Linked DNA regions of Sus scrofa. The protein of the gene in region 1 interacts with the protein of each later gene in a pairwise test. Links are inferred from orthologs where the notes say so. Each region holds a gene or a part of one and is shown in the gene's direction. Other genes may lie near its edges.

What was found. The genes of interacting proteins can lie anywhere in the genome.
Region 2: the proteins of PPP1CC (region 1) and SFRP1 interact in a two-hybrid assay, tested with the Homo sapiens proteins (2 studies listed by BioGRID). The link is inferred for Sus scrofa from reciprocal best matches to the Homo sapiens genes PPP1CC and SFRP1.
Region 3: the proteins of PPP1CC (region 1) and ZFYVE9 interact in binary tests that used the Homo sapiens proteins (3 or more experiments, as listed by UniProt). The link is inferred for Sus scrofa from reciprocal best matches to the Homo sapiens genes PPP1CC and ZFYVE9.
Region 4: the proteins of PPP1CC (region 1) and PPP1R16A interact in binary tests that used the Homo sapiens proteins (3 or more experiments, as listed by UniProt). The link is inferred for Sus scrofa from reciprocal best matches to the Homo sapiens genes PPP1CC and PPP1R16A.

Annotation. Positions count from the first base shown.
Region 1 is NC_010456.5:32,088,463-32,092,411, reverse strand, and holds the start of PPP1CC (serine/threonine-protein phosphatase PP1-gamma catalytic subunit), read left to right. Parts: upstream 1-1,144; coding exon 1,145-1,199; intron 1,200-3,949. UniProt on the Homo sapiens protein: Protein phosphatase that associates with over 200 regulatory proteins to form highly specific holoenzymes which dephosphorylate hundreds of biological targets.
Region 2 is NC_010459.5:10,486,966-10,491,261, reverse strand, and holds the start of SFRP1 (secreted frizzled-related protein 1), read left to right. Parts: upstream 1-1,488; 5' UTR 1,489-1,705; coding exon 1,706-2,231; intron 2,232-4,296. UniProt on the Homo sapiens protein: Soluble frizzled-related proteins (sFRPS) function as modulators of Wnt signaling through direct interaction with Wnts. They have a role in regulating cell growth and differentiation in specific cell types. SFRP1 decreases intracellular beta-catenin levels.
Region 3 is NC_010448.4:160,071,668-160,075,973, reverse strand, and holds the start of ZFYVE9 (zinc finger FYVE domain-containing protein 9), read left to right. Parts: upstream 1-1,498; 5' UTR 1,499-1,829; exon of another isoform or gene 1,830-1,892; intron 1,893-2,156; exon of another isoform or gene 2,157-2,335; intron 2,336-4,306. UniProt on the Homo sapiens protein: Early endosomal protein that functions to recruit SMAD2/SMAD3 to intracellular membranes and to the TGF-beta receptor.
Region 4 is NC_010446.5:317,240-321,227, reverse strand, and holds the start of PPP1R16A (protein phosphatase 1 regulatory subunit 16A), read left to right. Parts: upstream 1-1,180; 5' UTR 1,181-1,291; intron 1,292-1,297; exon of another isoform or gene 1,298-1,525; intron 1,526-3,988. UniProt on the Homo sapiens protein: Inhibits protein phosphatase 1 activity toward phosphorylase, myosin light chain and myosin substrates.

The DNA of each region.
Region 1 (3,949 bases):
GCGGGGGGCGGGAGGGGGGGGCTGGAGAGCGATGCCCTTGGGGAGACTGGGAAGCCGAAGGAAAAGGGCCAAAGTTTCCCGGGGTATCTGCAGAAATCAGGACCCGCCCGCAAACACTTGCTCTCTTCTGGCCAAGAGCTCGGACGCGCGAAATCTGCAAATTCTCCCTTTATTTGAAGGTGAACGCTCGCTCACCTTCGTTCTGCCTAGAATCAGGGTAACCGTTCCGATGATTATATAACTTCCCGAATTCTAGAAAGATAATCCAAAGATAGGGATGATTAATTTTTTCAAGATTTTTTAAAAAAATTCCCCCAAAGTTTGAGAGCGCCCCCAAAAAAACTGTACATATAAATACCTGTAAATACAGGTGGAAATCCACCACTCAAAATGAGTAACTGTTAACATTTTTATTTATCTGAGAGACGACTTTTTTTCCTAGTTATCAAGCCTTCCCCTTACCCCCAAATCCCAGCAAATCTGACTCCAAAAAAAGTCACCCTACTTCTCTTTATTATTCTCCCTCTTCACCTCTACCCCAGATTTATGTTTAGGGGAAATTCCAGCACCCCCGGATTCCCTCCATGGGCTTTCACATGGCCAGGTCCGCAAACATCTGGCCCCAATGAACAGCGTCCTGCGGAGGCCGAATCTTTGGGCGCACAACTGCAGCTTCACCCCAGGCCACAACTCCCGCGTGCGACTTTGCAACTCACGCTCCCGCCACAGGACCTATTTGCTCAGCCCGTTTGGCGGAAGGATTCCGCGCGCGAACGCGGTTGTGCTCAACTGTCTCCTCCCCCTTCCCGCGCTCTGGCCCCGCCTCCTTCCCGAGCCCTGATCCCGCCCCCTCCCGCGTGCCCTGTGGCCCATAAAGAAGTCCCGGCCGGGCCGCTGCACTCCCCCGCGCGCATTCGTGCGCCGCCCGAGGCTGGCTAAGGAGTCGGCGGCCATTTTGTTCTTCTCGTGGTTCCAGTAGGGAGAGAGGAGGAAGCAGGGAGCGGGGCGGTTGGGGGGGACCCGCCGCGGCTTCTGCCACCGCCGCCACCACCATTTCTGTGCTCGTGGCGTGGGAAAGGAGGCGTGAATCCCGGGCGCGAGCCGGTGGCGGCGCCGCTACGGGAGGGTCGGCGGTGGGAAGGCGATGGCGGATATAGATAAACTCAACATCGACAGCATCATCCAACGGCTGCTGGAAGGTGAAGGGGGCGGCGGGCGGCTCCGGGAACTCGCGAGGGTGGGGGATTTGGGAGGCCTCTTGGGCTTGCAGCGCCGAGGGGAGTGAGCCCCACGAGTTCGCCCCCGAGCCGGGGGCTGCAGCCGGAGGGAGGCCGCCCGTGGTCCCGCTCTTGGCCTAATCCGCGGACCCTCCAGCTCCGCTCATTCATTGCACGAGGGTGCAGCCTTTCTCCTGGCCGTGAAATTTGAAAACTCCGCTCCCCACCCCCACGTTTCCGGTACGTGCCCCCCATGCGCCCCGCAACCCCGGCCAATCTTCGGAGAAGATTGGGGGGCCCCAGTCCATTCTGCAAGAAGAAATGTTCCGAACTTTCTGGTAACTCCTCCTCTCGGAAAGCAATGTGATGGGGCTATGGATCCTCCCGGGCTTGAGGACTAATTTCTTTGCTTCTCATTTTTATTTTTTGTGAGGTTGGGGTCCACTGGCCCGTTTCTTGTTACTTGGTGACGAACGTTCAAATCTCAAGAGGATGTTGAATCCCATCTCCTACTCTTCCCAAACACTTTTTTAAAGTTGTTCTTACCTTGAGGTCTCCGCGCTCTTTTCTGAACGTGCCTCCGAACCGTGCAGCCAGCAGCGGTGACAGTTTCGTTAGAATCTTTCCAGTGTGCCATTCTCTGTGTTAAGCGCTTTGCGTTCATCTGATAAATACAATCTTAGTATTAGCCAGTGTTTACTATGTGTCGGGCATTTTTGGAGCACTTTACACAGATTTCTTGTAATTCTCCCAACAGTCTTATGAGATAGGTGCTCTTTTTTTCCTATTTTTTTTTAGAGGAAACTAAGAGAAGTCACTTTACCAAGGTCACACGGTGACAGGTTTAAAACCCAGACATCCAGGAGCAAGAATTCATTCAAGTCAGCCTGTGTGTGAAGGAAGGAGGTGTCCAGTGGTTAAGCAGAGGTTAAAATAAATCTTTAATATTGGGTGACCTAAGACTCGTGAGGTGTCTGACAGTTGATTCATATTGATATGGGTGACAGATGAAGTAGGGATTTTAAGGAGGGACGCTGAAGTGAAATCATTCCCCACTACCCCCAAATTCCAGAGCCCACCTATTAATACTGATGTCTAATTCCAAACTTTGAAAGAATTCAAATCTTTCCTGATTCGGGTTCTTGATAATGTAGGTTTGGCCGAGTTTTTAACTGGTTTTTGCCTTTGTGCAGTTCTAAAATACTGCTGTAAATGTTGTGGGAGATGGAGTCGAGAGCATGAACAGTTGGTCAGCTCTGATGTTAGAGTTTGCAGATCTTTTAAGTCATTAGAATGAAACTCCTGAAAATATCTTAATCTGTGTGGGGTGTTTTCCTTTTCTAGTTTCTCAAAAGAAGAACCCATTAAATAGACCCCTAAAATGCTTCTGCCATTTGTGGGTGAAAACCCTATTTACTCAGTACTTGGCATTTATTATAAGAACAACACTTTTAATATTAATATTAAATATTAATAGAGTTCTTTGATTTATGTGAGCAGCAGTGGGTCAGAAAGATTAAAGCAGTTGGCACTAAGAACTTAGTTTTTTTTGGTTCAAAAGTTGTGAATTAACTTGTGCGTATCTATCCAGGGGTGCATGTGCCGAAAGAGTGGGCTTTATTTCATTGAGAAAGGGGGTCTGTGGATTCAAAACATTAGAATTTTAAGATAAATTCTAGGTTGCCCATGAGTCTTATATCCATATATTTTAAAGTGTGCTAAGAAATTTTCCTTGATAAACTTGGATAATCTAAAATGAGAGCAATTGTTTTTTAATGGTTTCTATATAAATATTGCACTTGAAAAACCAGGGTTTTTTTTAAATTTCATTTTTTTTTTCACTGACATTAATATAATGTTGTGTTTTAATGCCTTGGGAGTAAGCTAGCTGTTCATCAGACTTCCTTTTTTTCTCATAAATGTTAAATTGATGGAGAAACAGTGAAAAATAATCCACTGAGGATCTGTATAACATCCAAGATAGAAGATGTTGATAATAAGTTTGTGAATTTTTTTTAATGCCTCACAAAATTTTCACTTAAGATTTTAAGTATATCTGAAAATATACTTAAATTTTTAGTATTTAAGGGAGGGAATGTGAGTTTTGTGACCTTGGTAGAATTTTTTACATGTTAGTTCACTTTTAAAAAAAAGGTGGAGGACTCTACGGGCTAGTTGAGAAGTAACTCAGTAATAGCACTAAAAAAAAAAAAAAAAAAAAAAAAGACAACTCAAAAGTGAGGTCTTATTTAAGAGAACACCATGTTGGTTTTAGATTTTAACCACTACAGCTACTCTAAACTTTTAGTAGTTTTTCCTAAGGAGGCATCACTTCTACACGCCACCTTGGAAAGTCTGCCTTACAGGTGATAAAACCTTAATGTTTGTTGTCACTCCTTCGTATTACTAATGTTCACTTATTTAAATAACTGCACGGTGAAACTTTGGGTTCAGGAAAATAAACTAGCAGTTGACTTGTCCGATAGTTCTACTGTGTTGGAGAGAAGTGAAATTGAGACTGATTTATTTTGTGATCTTGTTCAGGGAGCAGTGAGGGCCAGCGCTTTTCCTGCAGAGCAGGCAGTTGTAAGTTGTTTTCACGTCCTGATTGGCCAGCAGCATCTTGGCTCTGAAGATGGCCATTGTCAAACTGCAAGACTGCCAGCCTCTGCACAATTGCTTGCCTTGCTTTAGTGATTTAAATATGACCTCTGACTTGTAAAAAAACAACC
Region 2 (4,296 bases), on another chromosome or scaffold:
ACGTTGCCCATGTGCACAGCGGAACCCCCACCTGCGTAGAGGCCGGAGTGCTTTAAGAAAATAGCCTGGCTCCTTCCAAAACGCTAGTCGTTTGACTTGGAATCTGTCCATCAAGAAATTTGCTCTGCAGCGTCCAGAGCAAGCTTCCCCAGAGCTTTACAAACAAGCTAGCCCAGCAAGACAGCGCCTTCTCCCATGTCTGCCCTGAGCTCAGAGCTCTGTGGCCCATTTGCCACCTGGGGGTGGTGCCGCCCTGCTCAGATGCCTTCCTTCACCCCACACTTCAGGGTGGGAGACCCAGACAGCCGCATGAACTGCTTGTTGCTATCTCCCTGCCCTGGGATTAATCATAATTACACCCCCAGCTTTCTGGATTACACTTCCCTCTCAGGGTACCCTTTTGAAACATACAAGGAATCCCCAGGGCCTCTGGGTCAGAGGGTGGTGGGGGAGAGTTCTGTTTCAGGGTGGGTGTCCAGGGCTCGATGAGAAGGCCGAGCTGTTTCTCTGCTCATACTTCCCTCTTGGCTTCTTCTGCCTTACCGGGAACCCTGAATTTTTGACTGGAGGCTCCTGGGCCAGCTATGAATGTAGCATGTGTGCTTGAGTGATGGACTTGATATTTACACAAGCCACGCTGATAAGTGCGCATGTGTTTCTAATGTTGTGGCTTTCTATACCACAAACATGTCAACGTGCATATGCGTGCACACACAGACGAGCTGTCGGGCTGGGCCTCGAGCAGGGGTTTCTTTCTTTCTTCTTTTTCTTTTTGTAATTGTCCTCCCCAGGCTAACACCTTTGCGAGCACCCTTTCCCGACTCACTGCCTCCAGGGGGTCGGAGGGCCATCAATCATCTTGTCCCACCTTGGAAAGGCATTGCCTTTTAAAGCCAGCGGACAACCCGACTACCCCTTTCCCTGGTTCTTTGCGGGAAGCCAAGACGACCAGCTGGGGATTTAAAAGCCGACCTCCTTCGCTGTAGGCTTCGTGAGCCGGGTCTTGGAAACTGCCCGTCTGCGTACCGCAGCCACGGAGAACAAACCCGAGGAGGTGGGCTGCTGCGTAAAGTTACGAAAAAGTGTTTATTTTTATGTTTTTTAAAGTCTTCATTATCTTATGGATTTGCAAGTACTGTTGCGGTTCTTTGCTTTCCTGTGATCCCACTCAAGTTAATTACAGCGTTAAACATCGTCTTTATCCACCGCACACTTCTATCCGTCGTCTCTCTCCCCCCTCCTTTTTTTTTCTTCCTCTCTCTCCCCCCTTCTTTCTTTCTTCATTTATTTTTTGGTTTTGTTTTTTAAGGGGTGTTGACCTGCGCTGAGTTCTAGGGAACCGACCCCTCCCGCCGGGGAGCCGCAAGCCGATTGGCCGGCGGCGCGGGTGACTGACGGGCGGGTCCTGAGCGCTCGCGGCGGCCAGCGTGATTGGCTGGCGCGGCTCGGAGGGCTCGGCCGCGGGAGCGCCGGGGACTCGGGTCCCGCCGCCTCGGGAGCCGCGCCGCACTCGGGCCGCGCGCTCGCCTCCCCGCGCGAGCTCCCCAGGGCCCCCATCCAGCGCCGGGCAGGAGCCCGCGGCCGCTGAGCTGCGGCGGGTGCGGACTGCGCCTTTTGTCCGCGAGGGTCCCTGGAAGTTCGCGGCGGGACGCGCGCGGGGAGGCGGCCGAGGACGCCCCGCGTCGCGGGGGCCGGGGCGCCGAGCATGGGCGGCGGGCGCTGGGCCGCGGCGGGAGTGCTGCTGGCGCTGGCCGCCGGGCTCCTGGCCGCGGGTTCGGCCAGCGAGTACGACTACGTGAGTTTCCAGTCGGACATTGGCTCGTACCAGAGCGGGCGCTTCTACACCAAGCCGCCGCAGTGCGTGGACATCCCGGTAGACCTGCGGCTCTGCCACAACGTGGGCTACAAGAAGATGGTGCTGCCTAACCTGCTGGAGCACGAGACCATGGCCGAGGTGAAGCAGCAGGCCAGCAGCTGGGTGCCCCTGCTCAACAAGAACTGCCACATCGGCACCCAGGTCTTCCTCTGTTCGCTCTTCGCGCCCGTCTGCCTGGACCGGCCCATCTACCCTTGCCGCTGGCTCTGCGAGGCCGTGCGCGACTCGTGCGAGCCCGTCATGCAGTTCTTCGGCTTCTACTGGCCCGAGATGCTCAAGTGTGACAAGTTCCCCGAGGGCGACGTCTGCATCGCCATGACCCCGCCTAACGCCACCGAGGCCTCCAAGCCCCAAGGTGAGGCGGGGGCCCCGGGGCTGTCTACACTGCGCCCCGGGACGGGGGACGTGCTCCCTGGAGGTTGCTCTCAGCCGTGCCCATCGGCCCCAAGAGCTTCCAACCCGTCCGAAGTGGTGCGCGGCTGGGCGAGCCCGGCGCACACCCGGTCCGGTTCCTGGAGCCGCTGTCCCGGGGATCCAGTCTCGCTTTCTCCGCACCTGAAACAAAGCCTTAGCTCTGGTTCCGAGAAGAGCTCATCTTTCCTCTGGGAGGGACCCGAGTCCCCATGGGAATTCTGACGCGCCCCCCCCCGCCCCCGCAGATGGGATGCGCCAGGAAACAAACACCCAAACCCCAAATCTGGGAAGCTCAGAAAGGCCGAGAAAAAGCTAAGGCTCAGCTTTGTTTATTTTCTTAGGTTCGGGGAGCTTTTAAAACGCACACACATACACACAAACACACACATACACAACTCTTTCCTTAGCTAGTCATTCAGCTAAGTTGCTCCAGGACTGGTGCGGAGAGGACCAAGAAAAAAGTTTAGAAACTTTGGGGCTTTCTTCCTTTCAGGTAAAGACTCGGGGAGGCTTAGGGATGGAAAGGCTCTTCTCTGTGCTTCCTGCATCCCTCCCCCGCTGCCTCTCTCATTTACACAAATCCTCAAGTCATTAGAAAGATAAAATTGTCATTAGCTCATTGTTGAGTTCTCCTGGGGGGAGCGGGGCTCCCGCAAATTGGAGCCTTTCCTAACAGCCCCTCCCACTTAAAGGGCCCTTAGTGACGGGGAGGCAGCGAAACCGAATGAAACAAGTTAATGAGCGGCAAAACACCGCCACAAAAACGAACCCAACGAAAACAACCCAGCCCAGTGGCCGGACTTTTAAGAGGCGTGAGTTCAACGCGGAATTTTTCGGAAGTAGAGTTGAGGCTCAGAGACGCGGAGGCCACCAATCCCAATGCGCTGAGCACAGGGACGTACGTCCCCCGGCCCTGGGGGACTTCTGGAGGAAAGGGTTTAGGGTGGGGGGCACCCTCTGCCTGCTGACCTAACTCATGGGCAAGTGATGCCAAAGGAGGAATGTGCACTGAGTGGCCCCAGAGTGAGGATGCGGTGGTGGTGAGCCGGGGGAGGCACTTCGAATTTTGAGTGCCCATGCTGATCCCGGGAAGGAGGAGATGGGACCAGGGTGGCTGTCCTGGGGTGGCAGGCCGCCTGCAGAGGGAGGCTTTGAGATGGAGAGCCCAGTGGCTACCTGGAGCAGACAAAGCACAAAATCCCAGGGGATTTGCCTTCTCCCCTTCTTCACCTCTGGCGGGGGAAACCAGCCCAGCCAGAGGAAGCCTCGGCCAGCCCTGCTGAGGCTGGGTCCACTCACTCCCAAGGGGTTTCTTTCTGGCATAACCAGTGCTGGAGACCTTCCAAAGGGGAACCCCCTGTGGATGGGAAGATGGGACACTGGCTGGGGTGCCTGCTTATGAAGTGGCAAGGATCCTCCCAACTCCAGCCGGAGAAGGCTGGGATGGAGTGTTGGGAGGAGGGAATCAAATAATTGCTGACTTGAAGCCTTTTGCTCCCTGGCTGCTGTTGCACTTGTCTGTCTCCAGAATCTGCCCTGCGTACCATTTTCTCTCTCTTCTCACTCCATCTCAGGGGTCTCAAGTAGTCACTCTGCAAACAGAGACCGGCTTGAAGGGACTTGGGGTCTGATTCTCCCCGCAGTGTTTTTGGTGAGAAGGCTCTGTGGGAGGCATTGCTTCTGCCTCTTGGTAGAAGTGGGTCCTACAGGACTTCCTCTGAGGCCCAGAGGTGGCTGCTGACTGTCAGCTGAGCACAGAAGTGGGAGCGTTGTGTGTGTGTAGGGCAGGTTGAGACCGACCAGACTCCGGTCCCCATGACCTGATGACTGGTGGCTCCAGAATAAGAACTGGTACTTTTGGATGAGATTAACTATACTTGTGCTATGTTGACTCTTTTCTTCTGTGAAATTAAAACTGGGTTTTTTAATTCAGTTCCCATACTTGGGCAGACCTTTGAAGTCATGCCATTAAAGATAAACTTGGTAATGAGAAATAACTCAAAGGA
Region 3 (4,306 bases), on another chromosome or scaffold:
TTAGGACATAACCTTAGGTAAGGTGAGATTGCCTTATAATTCTTTTTTTTATATAGAGGAATATATTGGTTCTTTGCAGATATCTGCTATGCAACAGAATGTCATAGGATCAGGTATACTAGGCTCTATTCTTCTTCAGTGGAGGGATGTTATATAAGTCCATTAGTGAAATTTAAAGAAATTTTACCCAGACCAAGAATGACGAAGAATAATGCACCCATTTTTTTTTAATGCACCCATCTTTCCATAGGAAAACACACACACACACACACAGATTTTGAAAGAAAAAGATGAGAAAAATCTTGAATTTAAGGACTGAGGGTGTTTCGGAATCAACAGTAATAGGAACTAACATTTATTGAGTAACTTCCATGGGCTAGTTCCTTTGCAAAATTATCTCCAATCTTTGCAACAATCAGCAAGGCAGGCATCAGAAAATCGAGGTTCCTAAATATTATATAACTTGCCCAGGATCATAAAATTAAACACAACAGAGCTGGAATTGGTGCCTCTGCCAGGATCTGTCTGCCACCAAAGACCCTGCTCATTCTACTACATACTTAATGATAAAATCATGTATTTGGAAAAACTGGGGACCAGAGGATTTGAACAATTTCTCTTTCCCTCTTTTCCCTCTGAGAGCCTTTCTTTTGTTTTTGGTTCTGATGTTTTCACCCTAGAGTTTGAGTGGGATCGAATATAGGGTACCTGTAAAGAGAATGATTCCACAGCCCCCACAATATAACAATTTCTTTCCTTTAGAGCCTTACCTGGGATGTGGAAGGGACTGGGGATGGATGAGCGGAGTGGGGGTGGGGGTGGGGGTGGGGGAGTGTGTTAGAATATGGATTGTTTTTCTCTTAATTTTAGATTGTTTATAAATTTCAGGACAACTCGTTTATTTTCTTCTCTTGCTTGTCTTATTATTATTAATTTGTTCTATTTTGGGGGAGGTTGGGTGTTAAGGGTTTGGTATCTGTTGGGAATTCCTGAAATGATTTGCCAATAGATCCAAAAAAAAGTTAAGGTCAAAGACAATTCCTTCATCTGTTTCAGGAAAGGATGCGTGGGGGGGGGGGTTGATTCTGGGTCACCCTTCTTACATCCAGACGCACTGAACGGATTACAAAGGCTACCCCTTGAATCTCGAGAGGTGAAATCCAGGAGATTCCCCTCACATCCCTGCTCTCAGGTGAAGGTCCGAGTGAGAGGAACGTTCACGTACCTTCTGGAGAGAAGGAAAAGGTGTAAAGATGCTCATGGCCTGAGGCCTAGGGAGTGGGGAGGAGACCCACTAAGGTCGGTGGGGACCGAGGGGCTTCCGGGGGGCGTCGTCGGGGGCGGTCCGGCGGCCCCAGGGCGACGCAGGGAGCCCGGGGCCCCCGCCATCCCCAGGCCGCGCTCCCTCGCGTTCCCTGCGGCTCGTGCCCGGGCGGCCGCCGCAGTCCCGGCGCCGTAGCCGGGCGTGGGGTCCAGGGGGCGCTGTGGCCCAGCGGCGCCGGCGGCAGGAGCGGCCACGGCGACGCTGGAGGCTTCGCCGAGGATCCCCGCCTGCAGCACCTCGGTCGTCCCGCTGCAGCCTCGCACCCCCCGCCCGGCTCAGCGGCGCTCCTGCGGGATCCGCGTGGCTGCGGCGGCCCGGGAGCCCGATGAGGCTCGGCGGGCGCTGGGCCTCAGCACCAGCGGCGACCACAGCCCCTTCAGGAGTGGGAGGCTTCGCGGCGGCGGCGGCGGCGGCGCCTGGGGCCGGGCGGGTGCCCTCCGGAGGAGGCTGTGGGCTCAGGGACGACCCCCCGGCCATGCTGAGGCGGCGGCGGCCGCTGCTCGAGGTGAGTGTGACGCGGCGTCGCGCGGTCCCGGGCTCGCTGGCCTTTGGCCGCCCGGGGAGGGCCCTGGCGGCGAGACCTCGGGCCGGGCGGACGGGGCGTCCTGCCGCTGCGGCCGCCTCCCCCACCCAGGCTCGGGGGCCTCAGCCCTTCCTCCCCGCGTCCCCCGGGGGGCTGGAGGCGCGTGGGGGACGAGTAGGCCCCGCGTCGCCGGGAAGCCCTTGCCCCGGCCTGGGCTCCGGGGCGGCCGCGTCTGTGGAGAGCGGGGCTGGCAGGGTCCCTGGCACCCTTCGGGTTGGCCGCGGGCCCGGGCCGAGCGCAGCCTCTTACCCTGGGCCCCGCACGTACATCCCGGAGGGAGGCAGAGGACGCCTGTTTGCAAACAGCCTGGGCTTCTCGCGCCCCAGGCTCAGTCCCGAAGAGTCCCGGGGGTCGGGGGCGGGAGGGTGAGAAAGCCGGTGCGGAAAGCGCGGGGCCCTGGAAGCCCTTGGAACTCCCTGGAGTGTCATTCACCCATCCGACTGGCTTGAAAACAACCTTTTGCGTCTTCTTTGAGGTGAAATTTCATCACCTACCGGCAGCTCATCTCTGCTGCTTCTGTTACCTTTTGCTTCTAAGCGTGGTCTGCCTCGGAGAAAGCCCCATTCCAGCTTTGAGATGTTAACGTCTCCCAGATAATACTCAAAATTAGAAAAACATCTTTTTTAAAAAAACAAAGGTCTGTTCCCCCCATCACCCCTCCCCCCCGTAAGAGTGTGAGTATTGTAATGCCTTAGTCCGTGGTTCAAAATTGTCCCCCTAAATAGATCCATAGGATGGATGACAAGAGGATTTTAAAAAGTCATGCTAACTATCCCAGTAACAGAGACCTGATGGAAATAGGACATATTCTAGATTTTAGTAATTAAGTGATTTATTTTGGTATTAATATAAAAAAAAGTTGGTGATCACGGTTTGATACCATTAAGTCAGCCCTTTGGGTATTTATGATAAATGTGGTTCAGGTTATTCTTGTTTTCCTATAATGTATGTGAAGTATGGAGGATTATTAAGTACTTATAAAACTTTTATAATCCTGAAAATATATGTTTATTGTAGAAAATTTGAAAAGTACAGAGAAGTACTGTGCTGACCCTCAGTAAATGTTTAATAATAGGGGAAAAGTCACCCATCATCTTACAGAACGTTTTGGTCACTTAAAGTTTAAAATGGCTTGTATTACTGGTGATTTTTAAATTATTATCTCTGTATTAGCTTCAGAGTTAACTGTTCCATTTTACTGTTTAACATCCAGTCATTTGTATAAAAATGTTTTGCTAAATTACGTTGCAGTCATAGTTGAATTTATTAGCTACTACCTAAAAGACCCCTGATTTACCTCCTGTGCAGCTTCAGTTTTAAGGAGGTTTTGTGTATTGAACTTTTTTTTTTGAGGACCTGTTCTATTAGATGCCATAGCCTTGTATTGTTTTTTTGTTAAGATTTTCCCTAAATATTTATAACTGTAAAAAAATTGACTTCATTAAAAAGTTGGGGGGAGGTAGATTAATTTAGGTTTTAAAAAATCCAGTTCAGTTCTTACTGTGTCCCTAAAGACTATCATTATTAGAATCACTGAGAGTGCTTATTAGCATATGCAGATTCCTGGCACTCTGAACCACAATTTCTAGAGTGGTAAGTGACCCAAGATGTTCATTTTTATCAAGCTCCCCAGTACTTAGTCTTACTAAAGTTTTCGAATCACTGATAATAAGTTTAAAGTTTAACTAGCCTTATCAAGCTGAATGAAAATACCTGTTTTCTAGCAAAGTTATCAGTCTTAAGTGGCTATACAGTCATTTCTCATAGCAACAGCTGATGGTGTTATAATCTCGAGAAAATGATGATCTTTCAAGGGACAGCTGAGTCAATCTACGTAAACTTATTGAGGGCCTTTTTTGGTAGTTGTGGTGTTACAGAAGGATGCCTGGCCTCTTGAACCTTAGCTCTTAGTCTTGGACTTTGGTATCATTGTAAAATTCAGATAGTTATTATACTTATCTTGAAAGGCTTTTAGGGTAAATACATCTGAAAAAGGTTTTTGATCTGTAAAATATCTTTGTAAAATTTTATCTATTGGTATTAAGTGCCAGGTCCTGTTTTTGCTGTTTTGAGGAACACAAAAATGACCAAGGTCTCTGTTAGCAACTAGCTAATTATGGAAGCAGGATATGTTTAATTAACTGTTACAAGGCAGAGTCAGACAAGTGTAATGGAGTGGAACATGCTAGAACTCTCTTTAAGGCTTCTATAAACTGTTTAATCCAGTAGCTTGCTCTTTATTAGTAATTTTTATATATGATCATTCTTTTTTTTTTTTTTCCAACTCCTGATGCAGTGTTTTATTCTTTACAAAGAAAATTGTGTATGTTGCCTGGTAAGAGATAGTTTTATATTAACTCCTTTAGAAAGGCTTTGAGTGGAGATGATCCTGTTTCTTC
Region 4 (3,988 bases), on another chromosome or scaffold:
GGAGCGACGGGGCTGAGCTGGGTGAGGTATGCGGGTACCACACTGCTCCCTCCACTGTCTCAGGCGCCTCAGACTTCACCTGGCTTCCTCTGGACTCCTGCGTCACCTCCTCGACACCTGTCAATTGCCAGGGCTCATTGAGGGGTCCTTGTGTCTCATTAAACTATTGTGGCCTCCTAGCCCCACTCAGTCAGTAGAGGCGTCCTTCTTTCCCACATGCCTTAAGACATCCCCTCTCTTCCACTGGCACTCCCTTGCTTCCAGGATAAAGCCCAGCTCTTGGTTCTATGTTCAAGGCCCCTCTTGTCCTGACGACTGATCCCTGACCGCACTTACACCCCCACCAGCCCAAGCCTACCTAAACCACACCTCAGCTTGTCCCATCGCCCCATAGCCCTGGCTCTTTCCACCTTTGCGCATGCTCTTCCCTCCATCCGTGATGCTTCTTTCTGCTTCGTGGAGCAAACTCTAACCCTCCTTAAAAAGCTCAGCCTACGGAGTTCCCGTGGTGGCGCAGTGGTTAACGAATCCGACTAGGAACCATGAGGATGCGGGTTCGGTCCCTGCCCTTGCTCAGTGGGTTAACGATCCGGCGTTGCCGTGAGCTGTGGTGTAGGTTGCAGACGCGGCTCGGATCTCACGTTGCTGTGGCTCTGGCGTAGGCCGGTGGCTACAGCTCCGATTCAACCCCTAGCCTGGGAACCTCCATATGCCTCGGGAGCGGCCCAAGAAATAGCAACAACAACAAAAAAGACAAAAGAAAAAAAAAAAAAAAAAAAAAGCTCAGCCTAGGAGTTTGTGGCTCAGCGGTTCACGAACTCCAGTAACATCCATGAGGACGCACGTTCGCTCCCTGGCCTGGCTCAGTGGGTTAAGGATCCAGCGTTGCTGCTTGCTGTGGCTGTGGTGTAGGCTGGCGGCTACAGCTCCAACTGGATCGCTAGCCTGGGAACTTCCATACGCCGCGGGTGCGGCTCTGAAAAGAGAAAAGCTTGGGCTAAAGGGATGACCACCCTCCCGGGAACCTGTCGGCCCCTCGCCCTTCAGGCGCCCCCCGCGCGGAGAACGCCCGGGCCGAAGCGGGTCTCGCCGCGCCGTCGGCGGGCCCCGCCCCCAGGCGGCCCCGCTGCCCGGGGCGACCCGGCTTCCGGCTCTGAGCCGGAAGTGTAGCGTTGCCATGGCGAGGGCCCGGCGCGGGGCCGCCCCCGCGGCGCCGGGAGGAGCGCCGGGCGGACTGGCCGGCCGCCGGGATCCGATCGGCTGCGCGGTGGCTGCTGGCTCCGGGCGGAAGGTGAGGCGCGGACTTCCGGGGCCCCGGGGGGCCTGCAGGGACCCGCGGGGCGGGCGACGCCGAGTCCGGCGGGATTTTTCCGCGGCCCCGCTCGGGCGCTGATGGGCGAGGCCCGGGCCGCGGGTGCTCAGGGTCGGGACGGCTGCAGAAGTGGCGGCCGTGAAGGCCACCGATAGGCTTTTCACCCTCTAGCCGTCCGTGCCGTTGTTTCCTTTCTTGCGACCTGTTGGTCAGGTAGGCGGCACTAACGTTATCTCCATTTCTGGCTGAGGAAATTAAGGCCTGCAGAGGAGTGACCTGCCCGGGCTTTGTGTGGGCTTTAGGCCGGAGGAGCGACGGGGAGCCTTCCAGGGGCCCCCGGGCTCCGGCGCCGAGATTGCTGTCACGGCAAGAACGATAACGAATGTACTGAAAGTGCCTGGCCCTGCGCTGGCCCGGAGGTGCTCCAGGCCTGGGAGGGGGTGTCCTCCGTGTGGTGGAGCCGAGGCCGAGGCCACGGTGGGCTGGATCTCCGCGGGTGCAGAGAGGGCCAGTGTGTACGGGGTCATCGCAGGCCCACGGAGGCGGGAGGAAGGCCAGCCCTTCCCAAAGCTGGGGGCCTGCCTGTTCTTCCCGGATCCTTAATTTGGGGGTGAGGTGACAGGGGCTCCACACTGCTCTTCTCTGCCCTGTCTTTGCTGCTCCGGGTGCTCCCCAGCAGGAGGGGGAGCTCTCCCTGGGGGCAGAGTAAAAGGGCCTCTGTGGCTCTGGCGGGGCCACCTAGTGCACTTCAGGGGCATCCAGTGGATCCCCAGCCTGGAGCTGAGTTACCCGAGGACCTGTGGCTGCCTGGAGCCGGCAGTACAGGGGCTGGCCCTGGAACCCTTGTGGTGGTGGGCACGTGGTGCTCCGATCAGCTGCGCCCTGCCTGTAAGCTCTTGCTCAGAGCCGGGGTGGGAACGCTTCCCTCTGGTGGGCTCTCCACTGGCCTCACCCGCTCGGGCTGTGCCTGGACTCTGCTCTCCCTAGAAGGCTGCCTGGCCGGCACCTAGCGAGGGGGCTCTTGTGTCTGTGGGCTCAGTTGGGGTCTGTGTTCTTGGGATTTCCGCAACAGTTTGTGTGCCTCTGCGGGCAGTTCTGGAACCTCAGTCTCATAAACCTCTGGTGACTCAGCCCAGCATCTCTGTCCCAAGAGTGACCCAGCCCAGCACCTCTGCCACAGTCCGTGTGTCAGCCAGAGCAAGACGCAGTGTCTCCTTTCACTTCCAGGCTCCCTCAGAACTTCCTCCTAAAGAGCCCTGGTCCTGGCCCTCCTGTCCATCCCTTCGCCTGCCCCTGTGGCTCCTCGTTTCCTTCCAGGATTAAGCACTCACCCCTGGCCAATCTTGGCTTTGTCTCAGCCCCTGGATGGCATCCTTCTCGCCATAGCACATCAGCTTCTTGCACTCTCCTCCCTCACAGGCTTCAGGATTAACACTTGCATGTCTGCACACTAGCCCCCGTCCTCTGCCTCTGCCCCCACTTCTGACCCCCTTTCCACGTGTGTGTCGTGCCACCCCCATACTGAACCCTTGCAGCAGTGAGGGGGAGGGAGTGAGCCTCACCCCACCCCTTCCAAGCTCTCTGGCCTTAGGCACGTCGGACTGAGAGCCGGGGAGAGAGAGGCACAGGAGCACTTGGTCGCGCAGATGCCCAGAGGAGAGGCCTCTGGAGGACGAGCTTGTGCCCAGAACCCAGTGACGGCAGTGGGGCGGGGCCTGCGGTGGACATTGGGTGCTGGCCGTGTCCTTGCTGGGCGGCTGTGTCGGACGGACACGAAGCCTGGGCAGATTGGTGCTGGCAGAGGAGTGCGTGGCGGGGGGCGCACAGAGACAGGGCCCGCAGACCAGTCTTCACTGAGCTTCCAGTGTGAAGAAGCGGGGTGTGCGGGAGGTGGAGAGACTGGAGTTGGTTTAAATGGCCAGGTCTCCAGAGATGCGGAGAGGCTGCGGACTGGCGCAGAGGAGGCACTGCCAGCTTCGCGGTCTCGGCAGGCGGAAGGGGGCTGGGCTGTAGGGTGGACGTGGAGAACCAGGTGGGGCCACAGCACCAAGTAGCGGGAATGGACACCCTCCCCGGGCCCGCAAGGCCAGGGCAAGCCTTGCTCGCTGTTGCTGACAGACCTCCCGTGTTTCTTCTGGGCTGAGCGCTGGGGGTGGGCAGTGCCTGGGGCACCACTGCTAGCTCTGTGCCCCAGTGCCCGTCGAGCCTGGCCTGACACGGCTGCGCACACAGCCGAGTGGTGGTCCTGTCCATCGAGCTGGCTCAGTCACAAGCTCAGGGTCACCTGCAGCCCTTCTGCATGGTCCTCCCAGGGCCCGGAACGGGTCACTCCTCCAGCTCTGAATGCTTCCCGAAAGTCAGGCCCTGGCTTCAGAAAAGAGAACAGTAGGAGTTCCGTCGTGGCTCATCGGAAACGAGTCCATGAGGATGCAAGTTGGATCCCTGGCCTTCCTCAGTGGGTTAAGGATCTGGCGTTGCTGTGGCTGTGGTGTAGGCCGGCAGCTACAGCTCCAATGAGACCGCTGGCCTGGGAACCTCCATATGCTGCGGGTGTGGCCCTAAAAAGACAAAAAAAAAAAAAAAAGGAAAGAAAAGAGAACAGTAACTAGTGGCAAAAATTAAAATGGGTGAGGAGACAGGAGAGTGACAGGGTGGCCACAGAACTCCGAGGAGGAG